Linked DNA regions of Struthio camelus. The protein of the gene in region 1 purifies or fractionates together with the protein of each later gene. This does not show direct contact. Links are inferred from orthologs where the notes say so. Each region holds a gene or a part of one and is shown in the gene's direction. Other genes may lie near its edges.

Region 1 (7,285 bases):
TATCCTCAGTTTTACTTCCAACAGTCAAATACAGCATATGCAAAGGATTAAACAGTAGAAAAGGGGAATTTTTACAAAGACAGCATAACATTCTGCGGGATGAAGAAGTGCACTTACAGCGTCAGTTCATCTGACTACTCATAAAACTATGGTAAATTTTAATGGAAAAGCATGTTCTGTCACATTCGCTGAAGGAAAGCACTGACCTTATCTGGCACACAGAAAAAATGCACAGTATTAAAATGCATTCACCAAGCAATATGGAAAGAATGCTCTGCTGCAACATCGGAGCTAGGCGAGGTTGAAACCATAACATTTCAGTGCATAAAAATAGTTGTCATAGGAGTTTTGCTGGGTCCTCCTTGCCAATTTAGGATGGAAGTACTCACTTTAGGAAAGTCTGTTTTAGGAAGAGTGACCCGAAAGTTTATTTCTAACACTTGGTAATCAGCCACCACATGAGCTAGTCTTGCGATGCTATATCAAGGATGCCTATATCAAAAGACCATGTATGAGCTTTTGATGGGTTAAAGGCCAGAAGGGACTGCAGTAGAATACCCTGTCTTGATTTATACCTGATTTTTACTGTTCAGTTATACTCTATGCTTGATTTATACTCTGACAAAAAAATCCACAGCAATGTTCGAGAAATTATCCAGATAGATAATTCTGCTTCCGGTTATCTTTTTTTTGCCTATTTTCTGTGGGGACTACAATAATATAAATCTGACTTGGGCAACACGTTAACATTTTACAGATTACACAAACCCAAAGAGCCACAATATTTAATCATAGAATACAAAGTTGGTATTATCTTAAAAAATGTGAGAGAAACCAGTGCTATATGTAAACTGCAGTTTACTGACAGATTTTTACCATTGTAATGGGCACAGCAAGCTCCTGTCCTGGTGAAAGACAGAAGATTAACAGATAAGTAACGTAAGTGTTACTTATGTTAGTTAGAGTATCATGTCTCAGCTGTGGTTGTAATATGCTTTTTATAAAAAACTCTGCAGCTTCTGCCCCAATAAATACAGCTTCAAGTGACCTAGTAGGGTTTGCGCTGCTTTTCCCTCTCAGGCACCAAACTATGTAACTAATACTTTTTTATTTTATCTCATCATTTGTTGGAACTGTGGATGATGAGGAAAAACAAGAGGAGGCAGAAATACCTATTTGTCCAAGTCCTCTTTTATCAATAGCTAATATTTAGAAAGTACTGTAATGTTGTCTTTGATGCTTCTACAAGAACTTTTCCTCTCATTTTTAATGCAGCTGGATAAATAGCTACTATTTCCATGTTTGAAGTAGCAGAAAAATTCAGCTGTTCTTCATGAATATTCTGCACTTTTGGGATGATGTTGTGATAAATGAATATCATACTACTATCCTGACACAGCACAAAAGTATGTTCAATGTTATCTATATAATGTTTAATTGTAGAATGTTGTGTCATTTGAAAGTGGAATTTGTTTACCATTCTTCCATTACTAGAAAAGACGTTTATCAAGAGTGTGGTCTAAAAAAATAATTTGCAGTTTAATGGCAAATATCTCCTTGTGTTGGTGTTACAGACAGGGTTTTCAACATGAAAGAAACATAACAGGTCCATTTTACACTGCCAAAGCCCTGTTATCACTTTACAATTCCTTTATACTTCTAAAGGAGTATGAAGGAGCTTTAGCATAAATAACAGCCTTGGCCCTTCTTTCATCTGTGGTCTGTCAGTGACACAGAGCTGTAATGCAAGCCCAACGGGTCAATAGCATATTAACTCAGGTTAAATTTTACAAGCATTATTCTGCTGATAGAATAGCAGATTTTCTAAATGGTATATGCTGAAATAATAGAGGGTTAAATACATAATAACATAGACTAGGGAAATACTTTTAAAATATTTGTTTTAGGGCTACTAGGTATAGCATACCTATTCATTCCTAGCTAAAATTTTTATATGTTATTCTTATAACTTGCCTGTCCACCTTTCTTCTTGAATATGATAATAGTATACTTAGGCCAGTATTTGTATGCCAAGTTCCATGTGTAATGTATTTATACCTGGAATACAAACATCGTGAAATTTGGGAAAACAGGATTTACAGCAGACATACTGATGCATTTTGTAGCAGTATTAAAGGCAGCTCTACAAACAGAGGAAAATGCAGCTGCTTTGTATAGATAGCCACCTTGAGGATTAGCGGAGTATAACTGTGTTTTATTGTGTGCCCTTCTGCAAAACAAAGGGAATGTAATGCATAAATCATAGTATCTTTTCAGTGCTATTTATTCTTTAAAAATTAAGTATGACTTTAAAATGGAATTCTACTCTTAAGTGACTAAATAAAATGATTAACATGATTAATATGAATTTATTATTCCATAATAAATGCAAGCACATATTTTCCTCAGGCAAACCAACAAAGTCCTGGTTTCTGACATTCAGACTGTGTCCTTTTCATCTTGCACAGAACTAGCAGTAACGACAGCCTGTGTCACGTCTTCCCATCTTCTCACGGAAAGTATTGGTAGCGCTACACTTCAGCGCTGAAGCAGGCACTCTGCCCGCACGCAGGGCTACACCGCAGCCGCTCGTTCACTATGTCTCTATTAGATTCTGGAGACCCATGGGGAGTAGCATTAACTGGAACAGCCCTTATTTAAGCTAAAGTAGAACTAAACCATGTAAAAACAGATATCAAAGGAATGTTAAGGATGCTAATAAAATAGGAAAGCGTTTACTTGTGTGGCAACATTATCATAACCACCATAGGCATGTGATTGTATGCTTTTTTTTCAAAGATACCTGCTTGTAGAAAGCCCATTTCTCGCAGTACGAGATTTCAGAACAGCGTTTTTAAAATAAATTAATTATTAAACTATTTCACCAGTACTTTAAAGGACAATGTGATTTAAAAAAAGACATTTCTTTTTTAAAAACAAATGTTGTCATCCGCACATACTTCATGTGTGAGTAGAGCCTTTAAACATAACCTTCCTGTTGAGCAGCTCTTCTATTCTGAAGTTCATTCTCTCATTATTTAAGAAGAGCTCACTGAACATGTAAAACACTGATGTTAAGTAGTTAAAATAGCACAGAATTCAGATGACAGTTACATTCAAAAGTAGGTCAGTTAAAGAGGAGCTACATTTGGCTTGTATTAAATTTTCAGTAACACTACTTACACTTCTTGAGAGCAAAAATACTTCAAAACTAGATATTGAGGTAAGACCAAGTTTAATATTCATTAACAGTTTTCTAGGTAACTCAACCACTGAGTAACTCATGAGGCAACATTTAAAGTTATGCCACGAGTTTAGCGAAGTGGTTGGCAAAGCTACATACTGGGGAAACAGCATTTTGTGTAACATTGCAATAACGACGCTCACAATCTTCCCCAGGAAGCACTGCGGTTAATTAAATTAATTCAGTTAATAGTTTTCAACTTGGACAAGTTTCTGATGGTAAACTATGCTGTGGTCAAGCCCAGAGGAGTGTCGTCGACCTTTTCTCTTTCCGCAGGCGCCGTGCTTGCAGGGCTGCCGAACGGGCGGCCCTGTCACCCAGCGCCAAAGGGATTTAGGCCCCCGAAGCCTGCTGGACGGGCGGGACTGATCCGTCCGGCCCCTCAGTCTTCAGCTGCGCTGGCGAGACGCAGGCTGAGAAACGAGATGGATTCTGGCTGAGCTAACGCCTACTTCCTCAGATACTTTCCCCATCACGTAGCACTGATGGGCTTGTACCCCAGCCGCGGGACGGAGAACACGTCGATCAGTTACTCAGACCGGCCCGGCCCGGCCCGGCCCGGCCCTGCGCTCGCCGCCGGCGACCGTTAACGGCCGGCGGAGCCGCCGAGCCCCGCACCCACCCTGCGCCCCCCGGCCGCCCACCACCGCGCGCCGAGGCCTGCCCCGCCGCCAATGGGCGCCCAGCAACACACGCCGGCCGCCCAATCATCCTCCGCGCAGCCCCTGCCGTCCCGCCCCCTCCCGCCTTCGCCCTCTGGGTAGCCAATCCGCGCTCCCGAGAGGGAGCGCTCGGCCAACCGCGCCGTTCTGACCGCCCCTCCCTTCCACCTCCTCCTCTGCGCCTCATGCAAACTTGATGGAGCGGAAACCCCCCCCTCCTCATCCTCGCGTCACTCCGTGGCGCTCTTCGCCAATAGAGCTGCGAGGCGGTGGCGTTCCCGCCTTGTGATTGGCCGTGGGGCGGGCCCGAGGGCCGAAAGGGGCGGGCCCGGCGGGGCAGCAGGGTGCGTTTCGCAGGCCGGAGCGCCGGGCTGCTGTGACGACGATGAGGGAGCGGGGTGCGGGCCGGGCGGCGGGCGCGCCGGGCGCCGCGGCGGTGTGAGGCGGGGCCGGGGAAGTCCCGCCGCCGGGCCGAGCCGAGCCGGGAGCCGGGCCGGCGATGCGGAGGTGAGTGCGGGGCTGCGGCGTCAGGTAGGAGCGAGGCGGCCGCCGGGGCCCGCGGCGGCGGCGAGGGGAGAGGCCCTGTCCGGCGGCGGGCCAGGCCGGGCCGGGCGGCGGGGGCTCCTGCTCCGGCCCCGCCGTGAATTCCCTGCGGTGCCCCGTTAACTCCCGCTGCTCTTGCTTGAAAAGTGACCCGCAGCTTCCCTCTCTGGCTCGTGAACGTTTGGAGAAGGGCGGAAGATTCCGAAAACTGGGGGCGGGGGGAAATCAGCGTTTTCGAAAACTTAGCTTTGCGTTGGGCGTTGTGACTTGCAGGCGAGCTGTGCGTCGCGCTTCACCGTGTCAGGCCGCCGGCAGGTACGTCGGTCTTGTCTTCAGGCGCTTCTGTTGGGTACGGAGCACAGCTAAACCCGGTTTGGTTTTCGTTTCACGGTATGAATGTGTGCAGTTTGTTTTGTGCAGCGGACTTGGTGTCGCGTTGAGAAGAGGCTTGTCGGCAGAACAAGTGCTGATTACACGAACTTGATAAAATCTAGTAAATGTCGCAGTAATCTTTTGGCAATTGATAGTTGTTTTTATTCCTCCTCTAAAATCGATTATTTATATCAAAACGATAAAACCTTGTAAGAGTCAAAATTCATTGGCATTGTTAGAGTTTTTAACTGCACTTTTCTTTTAGAAATTGTGATACCAATGTGTGTTTATTTATATTAAGTAATATTTTAACCTGTTCTTAAAGAATTTCTTTTTTTTTCCCCCCTCTCTTGGCTTGTATTGCAATTATGTAATTCTGTATCTCTTAAGTTGTAGCAGTATTTACTTACTGCTGGTTTACCTTCATCTCTTGGAAAATGTTTTTTTCGGGCTGTTCAAGAAGATTACTTTGCTCTTCAGTTGCTTAAAACTTTTAAGGAGGAAGGTTTATAAGAAACAATTTGAACAGGTTATTGTAGCCTCTTTGTTTTATACTCTGAATCAAGGCTACAGAATTGCATGTTCATATTGAAACCTAATAGCTGGTTCAAACATCTGCTTGGTTCATACAAGGCTATTGCAGGGTAGAAACCAAGTTCTCGTGTTTCAGAACAAACCTCTTCGTGGTGAGATGACCCTCGGCAGCAATGGCAGTGACTCAGGCAGTGCAAAAAAGGAAGCTAGGGAAGTTTTGGAGTCAGGCAGCTTATTGTGGCCTACCTCTGACGCTTTTCAGAATATCCAGTGTTGCAGTCATAGTTCTGTTTTGCCTGTTGTTTCCCGAAATCACTTCGGCACAAAAATGTTTCAGGTAGTAGGTGGAGTAGAAGAACATGAATGAACAGCCTGACGCTTACAGGTCCATGGTGATGGTCATGTACTCCCTGGTACGCAGGAGGCTTGATAGTCGCTGTTATGTAGTGTAGTATAATGATAACTTGGTGCTAACCGTAATTGGTCTAGTTCCCAAATTAATTCGTACTGGGGTCTGATAGTGTTTTCTGGTCTTTGTCTGACAAACGTATACTGTATGTTCAGTGATCTGAATGTACTTTACTCACAGTATAACCAATTCCATTGAAAAAAAAATGTAAAAATATCTTCAAATCAGTGAAGCTTTTTGTGTGTATATATACTTCTGACATATTGATAGAAGTTAGCATCCTTTTCCAGGAAGATTTTCTCCTGTTAAGACAGTGATTTATTTTTTGCATGATTTAAAAAAAAAAAAAAAAAGATTTAAATTTGTAGTTAGACCTACATATACTTGTCTTTGGGAGGTGGAAATTGGTGGTAAATAAGTTCATTAAGGAAGGCTTTTTATATAGCAGTAGTGAACCTTGCTGTTGTAATGGAAAAACTTCTGGTACTACGTTTAGTGAGCACTTAACATCCCTGTGGATAACTAGCATTTTGAAAGGTTGGCCACAGACGTTATGAAGTTATCATTATATCATCTAATTGCAGCTGTTAACATTTTCCCATTGAATTTATTGCTACTAAGCACATTAAGATTATATAACATTGTAGCAGTGGACCAGCAAGTAGACTATAATTTTTTTTTTTAATAGCTGCAAAGAAGACTTCACTTGATGCATTCATCTTTATTTTTGTTTAAGCTCTTGAACAGACTTTCCTATTAATATCCCGCTTCCATACATACTCAGATGTAAATTACTTGTTTCCACAAGTGAACTAGATGAGGCTGTGACCCCTGTAATGTCAGAGGTATTTGAGTTTGCAGTGTGTTGGGAGTTGATTAACTTTGTGGAATGGCTTGCAAAAAGGGAAGTTAAGTGCATCAGCCCTTGAAAGGTGAGAACATAAAAGGCAACTGTGAAGAACAGGACCCTATCTTACCCCCTGTTGCACCCTCCCCAATGATTCTTAATGTCTGAGTAGATGTATGAAAGCTTATGGTCTCTTAAACGTATTCTCTTTACAGGGAAAAAGTAAATAGGTCTGTTGTTGATCTTCTCAACTCGAGTATAAAATATTATTTCAAACTAATACTGATGTTTGTTGTATGGACTTTATCTTTCTTGATGATTATGTGTCTCTAAAATAAAACTGAGGAAGATAAATATTTTAAAACTTGAAAACAGTTTCACAATCTGTTTACTAGATATCTTAATGAGATCTGAAACTGTCCAGATGCTGTGCCTCAGATGTGAATTATTTTGAAAATGCAAATGCTTTAAAACACATTGATTCTACAAGTTGTTGCAGCGTCAGCGTGATGACACCAACACCCATGTGTAACATCTGTGAAGATGAAACTCATGCATATTCAGGACCCGAATGGCTGTATCGTACAAGAGTGGCAGTAGGAGACTTAGCAGTTCAGCATAGAAATATTTGAATTCGTAATGCTTGAAAGATGTAACTTTTCTTAAATTTCAAA
Region 2 (7,636 bases), about 15 Mb from region 1:
ACGGCGTCCGGTCCTCGGCAGGGTGCTGGGCGCCTGTGCTGAGCGCCCAAGGGCCCCGTGGCGCGCGCCCGCCGTTTGCGTACCTCCCGGCCGCCCCGGGAAGGCGCTCAGGGCTCGTTGCCGGCAGGGAGCTGACGCCGCTGGAGGAGGCGTCTCTGCAGAACCAGAAGCTGAAGGCTGCCTACGAGGCCCGGGTGGCGCGGCTGAACCCCCGCCAGGCCCTGCAGAAGACCTCCCTGGCAAGTGGGGAGCGCCGAGGGCTGGGGCTCTGCACGGGCTGGGCACGGAGCCGGGCAGCTCCCAACCCCCCCAGTCCCTCCCCGGGGCCTCGGCCAGAGTCGCGTCGGGTGTTGCAGGGCCCAAGCGGCCCTGGAGAGGCCCTGGCCCTGCTGGGGTGGCTCTGGGCCTGGGAAGGGAAAGGGCTCCTGCAGCGGCAGGGAGGTGGGGCGGGAGCATGCAGGCGCGATGGACCCCGGGCTGGGCTGGGAGGGAGCAGAGGGTCCCGCGAGGTGCCTGGGAGTTCCCCGAGCTGCCTGCCTGTCCGCATGCTCCCGCTGTGGCACGGGTGGCCGTGGGCTTTTGGCAGGCGTCACCAACACGCGCTCTGCTCCGCAGACGCTGTCCCTCCAGCGGCAGATGATGGAGAACCTGGTGATCGCCAAGGCCCGGGAGGAGACCGTATCCTTCCCGTTCGAAGAGCTCTGAGCGTGGGCCGTGCGGCTCTGCTGGGCCCCTGCTCTGCAGGGAGCATCGATGCAGCCAGGCCGGAGCAGCCCCGAGCCTGCGGGCAGCCCCAGCGCCTCTGGGCCTGCGCGTAGCCCGGGTTTCGTAGCCCCGTGCGCTGCTGCGGACACCTGTGCCTCGTCCCTGGGCTGCGCTGATCCAAAACGCGCTTTTGGGATCTGCTGTTACGGGCTGCCTTGGGGGGAAACGGGGTGGGAGAAGGGCAGATCCTGGCTCCTGCCCGGTAGGAGGCGGTGGCTGAGCCTGGACAAGCAGAGGCTGGAAGGCTCCTGCCCAGCTCTCCCCGGGCCGGCGTGGGGGTCCCGCAGGGGCTCCAGCCATGCTCGCCATGGTGGCGGGCCGTCAGGGACCCCCGGGCCGCGGGAGGAGACGCCGGGGCTGGCCGTGCGGGGTGGCGGGCGAGCGGGCTGGCCCCGTGCCGTGGTGGCGGCGGTGGCACGCAGGTGGCTCTGGAGCCTTGACTCTGCCGTGGCCCAGCTGCAGCGGAAAATGGAGGAGCGGCGGCTGCGGCTGCAGGAGGCTGCCAACAGGTGAGCGGGGCCGGGGCGTCGCGGCAGGGGGACCCCGCAGGCGCAGGGACCTCGTGTCCCTGTGCCTGGAGGGGGGTGCTGGTGGCGCCGCCCAGCAGACCCCCGCTGCCCACCGCCGCTGCTGCCCGGGCAGGAGGTTCTCCGGCAGCGTGGCCCTCACCCCCGAGGAGCAGGAGCAGAGAGCCCTCTACGCCGCCGTCCTCGAGTACGAGCAGGACCACGTGAGTGCGCTCCGGGGGCTGCTGCCTCCGGCCCCACTGGCCCGGGAAGCCTTATCCTGGGGGTGGGATGCTGCCTGGGGGGGCAGGATGCCCTTGCCTGGGGAAGGGATGCCTGGCCCTGGCAGCAGGACGCCTACTGTCCCCGTGTGCTGCTGGGGGCAGGATGCCTGCCGTCCCCGGGTCCGGGGGGAGCAGGACGCGGTGCCGTCCCGGCCCCGGGGTCCCGTCTCATCCGCCCGCGGGCGCTCTCCCAGGACTGGCCGCGGCAGTGGAAGGCCAAGCTGAAGCGGAGCCCGGCGGATCTCTCCGTGGTGGCGGGGCTCTTCTCCTGCCTCCTCAGGTAGCGCCTGGGCTGGGAAGGGGCCGGGCTGGGAGGGAGGGAGGGGGCCGCGGCTGCTTGCCAATGCCTCCTGGCGCCTGCCCGCCCCTCGCCTCCGTCAGCAGCCCCTTCCCTCTGCTTGCAGCTTCCCCGAGCACCCCATTGCCCAGCTCCTGCGGAAGCTGCAGTGCGCGGTGTATGGCCGGCTCTACCCGGCCGTCAGCCAGGGCGCTGCCGACGCCGCCCCCGCCTCCCCCACCGGCCTCTCCTTCCTCTCGCTGGACGCCGGGGCCCTGCTGGCCCCGGAGCCCGGGGGCCGGCGGCTCCGAGCCTCCCGCAGCCTGCACTGCATGTTCTCGGTGCCGGAGCACGGCCCGGCCGGCCTGCGGCACAGCCTGTCCAGCTCGCCCCTGGCCGACGGGCGCGGGCTCGAGGGCGGCTCCCCGGGGCCGGCCGGGCCCCCAGCAGGGGCAGCCAGCCCCCCGCCCCCCCGGGAGAGCTCCTTTGAGGACCTGGAGCGGTTCCTGGCGTCGCCCGAGGGCTGGCGCGCGGGGGAGCCCCCGGCCGGCCCCGCGCAGAAGGCGTCGCTGCAGGAGCAGCTGAAGGGCGTCGTGCGGGACATCCACAACGCCATCGGTGAGCGGCGGCCGCTGGGCCGGGGCGCCGGGGCAGGGGGTCGGGGCAGGGCTCTGCCCTCCGGCGGTGGGGGGATCCAGACATCTCGGCCAGGGTGAGGCAGGGGCTGGGCAATGGCCCTGGACGCGGTGCCTCCGTCACCCAGGGGTGTGGGGCAGAGAGGGAGCCCGCAGGCAGAGCCTGGGTGTGGGGCTGCTGCAGGCTGTGCCAAATTGTGGGGACCTGGGGGGGGACTGGGGCAGGGACCTGGGGCAACTGGGGCAGGGATGTGGGGCAGGGACCTGGGGCGGCTGGCCAGGGACACAGGGCAGGGCTGCAGGGCGGCTGGGGCAGGGATGTAGGGCAGGGATGTGAGGTGCCTAGGGCAGAGGCATGGGGCAGGGGTGTGAGATACTTGGGGCAGGGACATGGGGCAGGGACGTGGGGCAGGGATGCGAGGTGCCTAGGGCAGGGACATGAGGCAGGGATGCAGGGTGCCTAGGGCAGGGATGTGGGGCACCTGGGGCAGGGACATGGGACAGGGATGCGAGGTGCCTGGGGCAGGGACGTGGGGCAGCTGTGGCAGGGATGTGGGGCAGGGATGCGAGGTGCCTAAGGCAGGGACGTGGGGTAGGGATGCAGGGTGCCTGGGGCAGGGATGTGAGGTGCCTGGGGCAGGGCCATGGGGCAGGGCCAAGGGGCAGGGACAGGGGACGAGGATGCAGGGCAGGGATGTGGGGCGCCTGGGGCAGGGCTGTGGGGCAGGGACGTGGGGCGGGCACAGGGGACGAGGATGCAGGGCAGGGATGCGGGGTGCCTGAGGCAGGGACAGGGGGCAGGGACATGGGGTGAGGATGCGGGGCAGGGATGCGGGGTGCCTGGAGCAAGGACGTGGGGCAGGAAAATGGGGTGAGGATGCGGGGCAGGGATGCAGGGTGCCTGGGGCAGGGCGGCGGGGTGAGGATGCGGGGCCGGCCGGGGAGGACAGGGGCGGTCCGGCCGGCGCGCAGCCCCGGCTGAGCGCGCTGCGTAACTCGGCCCTTCCCAGACAGGCTGCTGTCCCTGAGCCTGCTGGCCTTCGAGGGGCTCAGCGCGGCGCCCTGCAAGGAGCAGTGCCTGGCCTGCATCGAGGAGGCCTTCTTCCCCCCGCTGTGGGCTCCGCTGCTGGCGCTGTACAGGTAGGGCGCTCGGGGCTGGGCCGGAGGCGGCGGCGGCGCCCGGCCCCCACCTGCCCGCAGCCTCGCCTGCCCGCAGGAGCGTGCACCGGCCCCGCGAAGCGGCCCTGGCCAGGAGCATGGAGCGGCACCGCAGCGCCGGCCCCGCCGAGCTGGGCCTGTCGCCCCGGCTCTTCCCGCCGGCGGCCGGGGCGCGGGCAGGCGGCGGCCCCGCGTACGGCTCCGCCGTGGAGGACTTGCGCCTCATCCCGCTGGAGACGTGTCCCCAGAGGAAGCTGGAGTGCATCGGTGGGTGGCTGGGGGCGCGCGGGGCGCGCGGGGCGGGCGCGGGGCCCAACCTCACGGCCGTGCTGCGCCCCCAGTGCGAGCCCTGCGCGTCATCTGCGAGTGCGCGGAGGAGTACTGCGGCGCCCGGGACAGCCGGCCCCCCCCCGCCGCCGCCGCCGCCATGTGAGTACGGCCCGGCCGGCGCGGGCACGCGCGGCCCCGCAGCTGCGCCGAGCGGGGGCTGCGGCGACGGGCTTCGCTCCCCGCTGGGCAGCGCCCCGAGGCTGCCTGCCCTGCCGGCGCGCCGGGGCTCACGGATGCCGTTGCCGGCAGCGGGGCGGACGACCTGCTGCCCATCCTGTCCTACGTGGTGCTGCAGAGCGGGCTGCCCCAGCTGGTGTCCGAGTGCGCGGCCCTGGAGGAGTTCATCCACGAGGGGTAGGTGCCGCCGGGGCCCCGCGGGAGCCGGGCGCGCGGGCGCTGGCCGTGACGCCGGCGCGCCCCTCTGCCGCAGGTACCTCATCGGCGAGGAGGGGTACTGCCTGACCTCGCTGCAGAGCGCCCTGTCCTACGTGGAGTCGCTGCGCTGAGCAGCCGGCAGCCCGGCCACCCCTCGGCGAAGCCGGACGGAAGGACGGACGGACGGACGGACGGGGCGGGTGCCGCTGGGCTCCCGGCGCTTCCCGGCGCCGCCGACGTTGCCGAGGGTCCCGCGGGGCCGCGCGGACGGACTGGAACTGCCGGGGTGGGGGAAGCCGCCGGGGGCCGGAGGACGCGGCGAAACACCGGAGGGGCCCCGGGGCTGAGCCCCCCCGGGTGCCGCCGCGGCGGGGGGCAGCGGCTAATAAAGGTGCCTGCCCGCCGCCTCCGCTGCTGCCGCCTGCGGCGCTCGGGGCTCCGGCCGGCGCGGGCTGCCCCGGGGCCCGGGGGTGGGGGAGCCCCAGCCCCGCTGCCCCCCGCCCTCCCCGGGGCCCGGTCGTTGCCTGCCCGGTTGCCCCGGGGCCGGTGCCCCGGGGGCGCCGCTGCTCCTCCCGCCCGCGGGGTGGCGCTGTCGGCGCGAGTTGGGGGGGGTTGCGGTGGGCGGGCCGGGGTTGGCCCCGCCCCTCGGAGGGGGCGTGGCGGCGGGAACCGCCCCGCACACGTCACGGCCCGAAGGGGGCGGGGCGGGGCGCGGGAGAGGCGGAAGGGGCGCCGCTGGGGCCCCGCGGGGAGCCGGGGCGGCAGGTGAGGGGGGGGCCCGGGCCACGCCCCCTGCTGGGGGTTCAGGCCACGCCCCCTGCTGGGGGATCCCCCGGGTCCCCGCGCCGCCGGGGCCGGGGAGGGGTCCCGCGGAGGGGCCGCGGTCGGGGCTGGGCGCTGAGCGCGGGGCGCGGGGGACAGGCCCGGGAGCCTGGCCTGGGTGCAGGGTGCTGAGGGCACGGGCAGGAGGAGGGAGCCGGGCCCGGGTGCAGGGTGCTGAGCCCATAGGCGGGAGGAGGGTGCAGGGTGCTGAGGGCACAGGCAGGAGGAGGGTGGCGGGCCTGAGCGCAGGGTGCTGAGCCCATAGGTGGGAGCAGGGTGGCAGGCTTGTGCTCAGGGTGCTAGGCTATGTCTGGGCGCAGGATGCTGAGGCCAGGTGCAGGGTGGTGGGCCTGGGAGCAGGGTGCTGAGTCGGTGGATGGGAGCAGGGTGCTGGGTCTGGGTGCGAGACTATGGCCAGGTGCAGGATGCTGGGCCAGCTGCAGGGTGCCCGGGCTATGGACAGGATCAGGGTGCTGAGGTCACGGGCAGGAGGAGGGAGCCAGGTCTGGGTGCAGGGTGCTGAGACCACGGGCAGGAGGAGGGAGCCGGGCCTGGGTGCAGGGTGCTGAGGCCGTGGCAGGCCCAGGGGGGAGGCCGGCCAGGCTGAGGCCGCTGCCTCCCGCAGGATGTGCTCCGGCGCGGCGCTGCGGCAGGAGTACCGGCGCTGCCTGGAGCGGGACTTGCGGCGGGGCCGCGCCGGGGCCTGCTCCGACGCCGCCTTCGGGGAGCTGCTCCGGCAGCGCCTGCGGGACGACCCGGCGCTGCTCCGGGCCCTGCAGGACGACGCCGCGGCCCTCCTGGCCAGCGGCCTGCGGGGCCGCCGCGACCTGGTGCAGGCGCTCCGGGGCCTGGCCGGCGCCTTCGAGGTGCTGGAGCTGGCGGCCATCAACCTCTACCTCTTCCCCTGGCGCAAGGAGTTCGGCACCGTCAAGGTGGGGAGCCCGGTGCTGGCCGCGTGGCTGGGTCGGGGCTGGCTCGTGCCGGGGTGCCCGGGCAGGAGGAGCCCCGGGGGGACGCCCGGGAGTCGCTGGCGGCGGGGTTGGGGCCGGCTGAGCTGCCCACACTTGTGGCTCGCGGGCGGCTGTGGGGCATTAGGAGGGAGCCGGGGCGGGCGCTGCAGCCGTGCCCGCGCTCTCCTTGCAGACCTTCTCGGGGACGTACGTGCACCGGCTGCGAGCGGCGCTCCCCGAGGCCGACCTGGCGCGGAGCTTCGGCCGCCTGGGCTACGTGAGGAGGGACGACCACCACCTCGCCGTCTCCCGGCCGCCCCCGGGGCCCGAGCTCGTCGCCGCCGCCTGTGGCTTCTTCGCCTGCCGGCTGGAGTGCGAGATCCTGGTGGAGGTGGTGCTGCGGCTGCGGCCGCGCCGCGTGCGCGCCCAAGACCTGCTCGAGGCGCGGCAGCTCGCCGGCGGCACGGAGGCCTGCGTGGAGGCGCTGCGGCGACTGGCGCTGCAGCGCGACGCCGGGGCCGGCTGCAGCGACTGCGTGGATCTGTACCGGGAGCCGCCGGTGGGCCCCGAGGACGCTGGCCCCGCGGGAGGCCGGCAGGATGCAGTCCCCTCGCCGCTGCCTGGACCCACCCCGCGGGAGCAGGGCGCCAGGCTCGGGAGGGACCCGGCTGGGCTGCGGGGTGCTCAGGACGCGCCCAGGAGGAGCTGGGACCTCGTGGGACGCGGTGAGCTGGGGCGGGAGCGGCTCCCCTCCGAGGGTAACGCCGATCCAGACGCCTCCTCTCGCCTCCTCCTGGAGCAGGAGCTCGGTGGGGCTGGCGGCTCCCGAGACGCCGTGACTGCGGGGAGCGAAGGCCCCCAGGTGAGCTCCCGCTGCTCCCCTCCTGCCCCTGCCCTGAGCCGGGCAGCAAACTGCCCTGCGCTGGGCCTGGCCCGGCCCGGCCACCTGGGTGAGCCCCAGCAGCCCCCGGCGAGCGGCAGACCCGGGGATTTGCCCCCTGCTGCCCCGCGGCCTGCGAGCGGGGAGGCACCGGAGCTGCCCTGCTACCAGCTGCACTCGTGCCTGCGCCGCGGCGTGCTGCCCTCGTACTGCTGCACCACGTGCCAGCAGCTCCACGCCGGCGCCTGCGCGGCCGCGCAGGCCTGCCGGACCCTCCACCGTGGCCAGGAGCTGCGCAGCGAGAAGCAGCAGCGCCTCTGGCTGCAGAGGACAGAGGTGGACATGCTGCTGGCCGACGGCTCCAGCGCCTGGACCTAGCTGGCGGGAAGGCCACGGGCTGGGCCGCGGCCAGCATTAACGGGAACTGCTGCTGGCTGCGCTGGGTTTCCCCAGGTGGGAGGGAACTGGGCAGCTCACGGGTCTCCAGGCAACCACTACTTGGCCTGAGGATGAGCAGCTTGAACCTCTCAACCCCAGCCCTCCCTTCAAGCGGTTGCGGGTAGCAGGGCCGGTGCCAAGCTCGGCTACCCCACAGCTGGGCAGCGCAGGGCAGCACATCCCCCTCTTCAGGCAGTAGGTCAAGGGCTCCGGCGC

Evidence for each region. Proteins that work in one complex are often made in the same cells at the same time.
Region 2: the proteins of CYLD (region 1) and SPATA2L purify together in Homo sapiens (affinity purification with mass spectrometry; 3 studies listed by BioGRID and IntAct, with this or other methods). This does not show direct contact. The link is inferred for Struthio camelus from reciprocal best matches to the Homo sapiens genes CYLD and SPATA2L.

The regions. Positions count from the first base shown.
Region 1 is NC_090951.1:17,365,866-17,373,150, forward strand, and holds the start of CYLD (ubiquitin carboxyl-terminal hydrolase CYLD), read left to right. Parts: upstream 1-4,239; 5' UTR 4,240-4,342; exon of another isoform or gene 4,343-4,413; intron 4,414-4,746; exon of another isoform or gene 4,747-4,764; intron 4,765-7,285. UniProt on the Homo sapiens protein: Deubiquitinase that specifically cleaves 'Lys-63'- and linear 'Met-1'-linked polyubiquitin chains and is involved in NF-kappa-B activation and TNF-alpha-induced necroptosis.
Region 2 is NC_090951.1:1,875,685-1,883,320, forward strand, and holds the start of SPATA2L (spermatogenesis-associated protein 2-like protein), read left to right. Parts: upstream 1-4,587; 5' UTR 4,588-4,721; intron 4,722-5,044; exon of another isoform or gene 5,045-5,095; intron 5,096-5,777; 5' UTR 5,778-5,778; coding exon 5,779-6,084; intron 6,085-6,295; coding exon 6,296-7,360; 3' UTR 7,361-7,636. Other genes in the region: VPS9D1 (VPS9 domain-containing protein 1), read left to right, coding at 128-239, 616-678, 1,222-1,274, 1,408-1,495, 1,750-1,835, 1,960-2,450, 3,478-3,607, 3,684-3,892 and 3 more.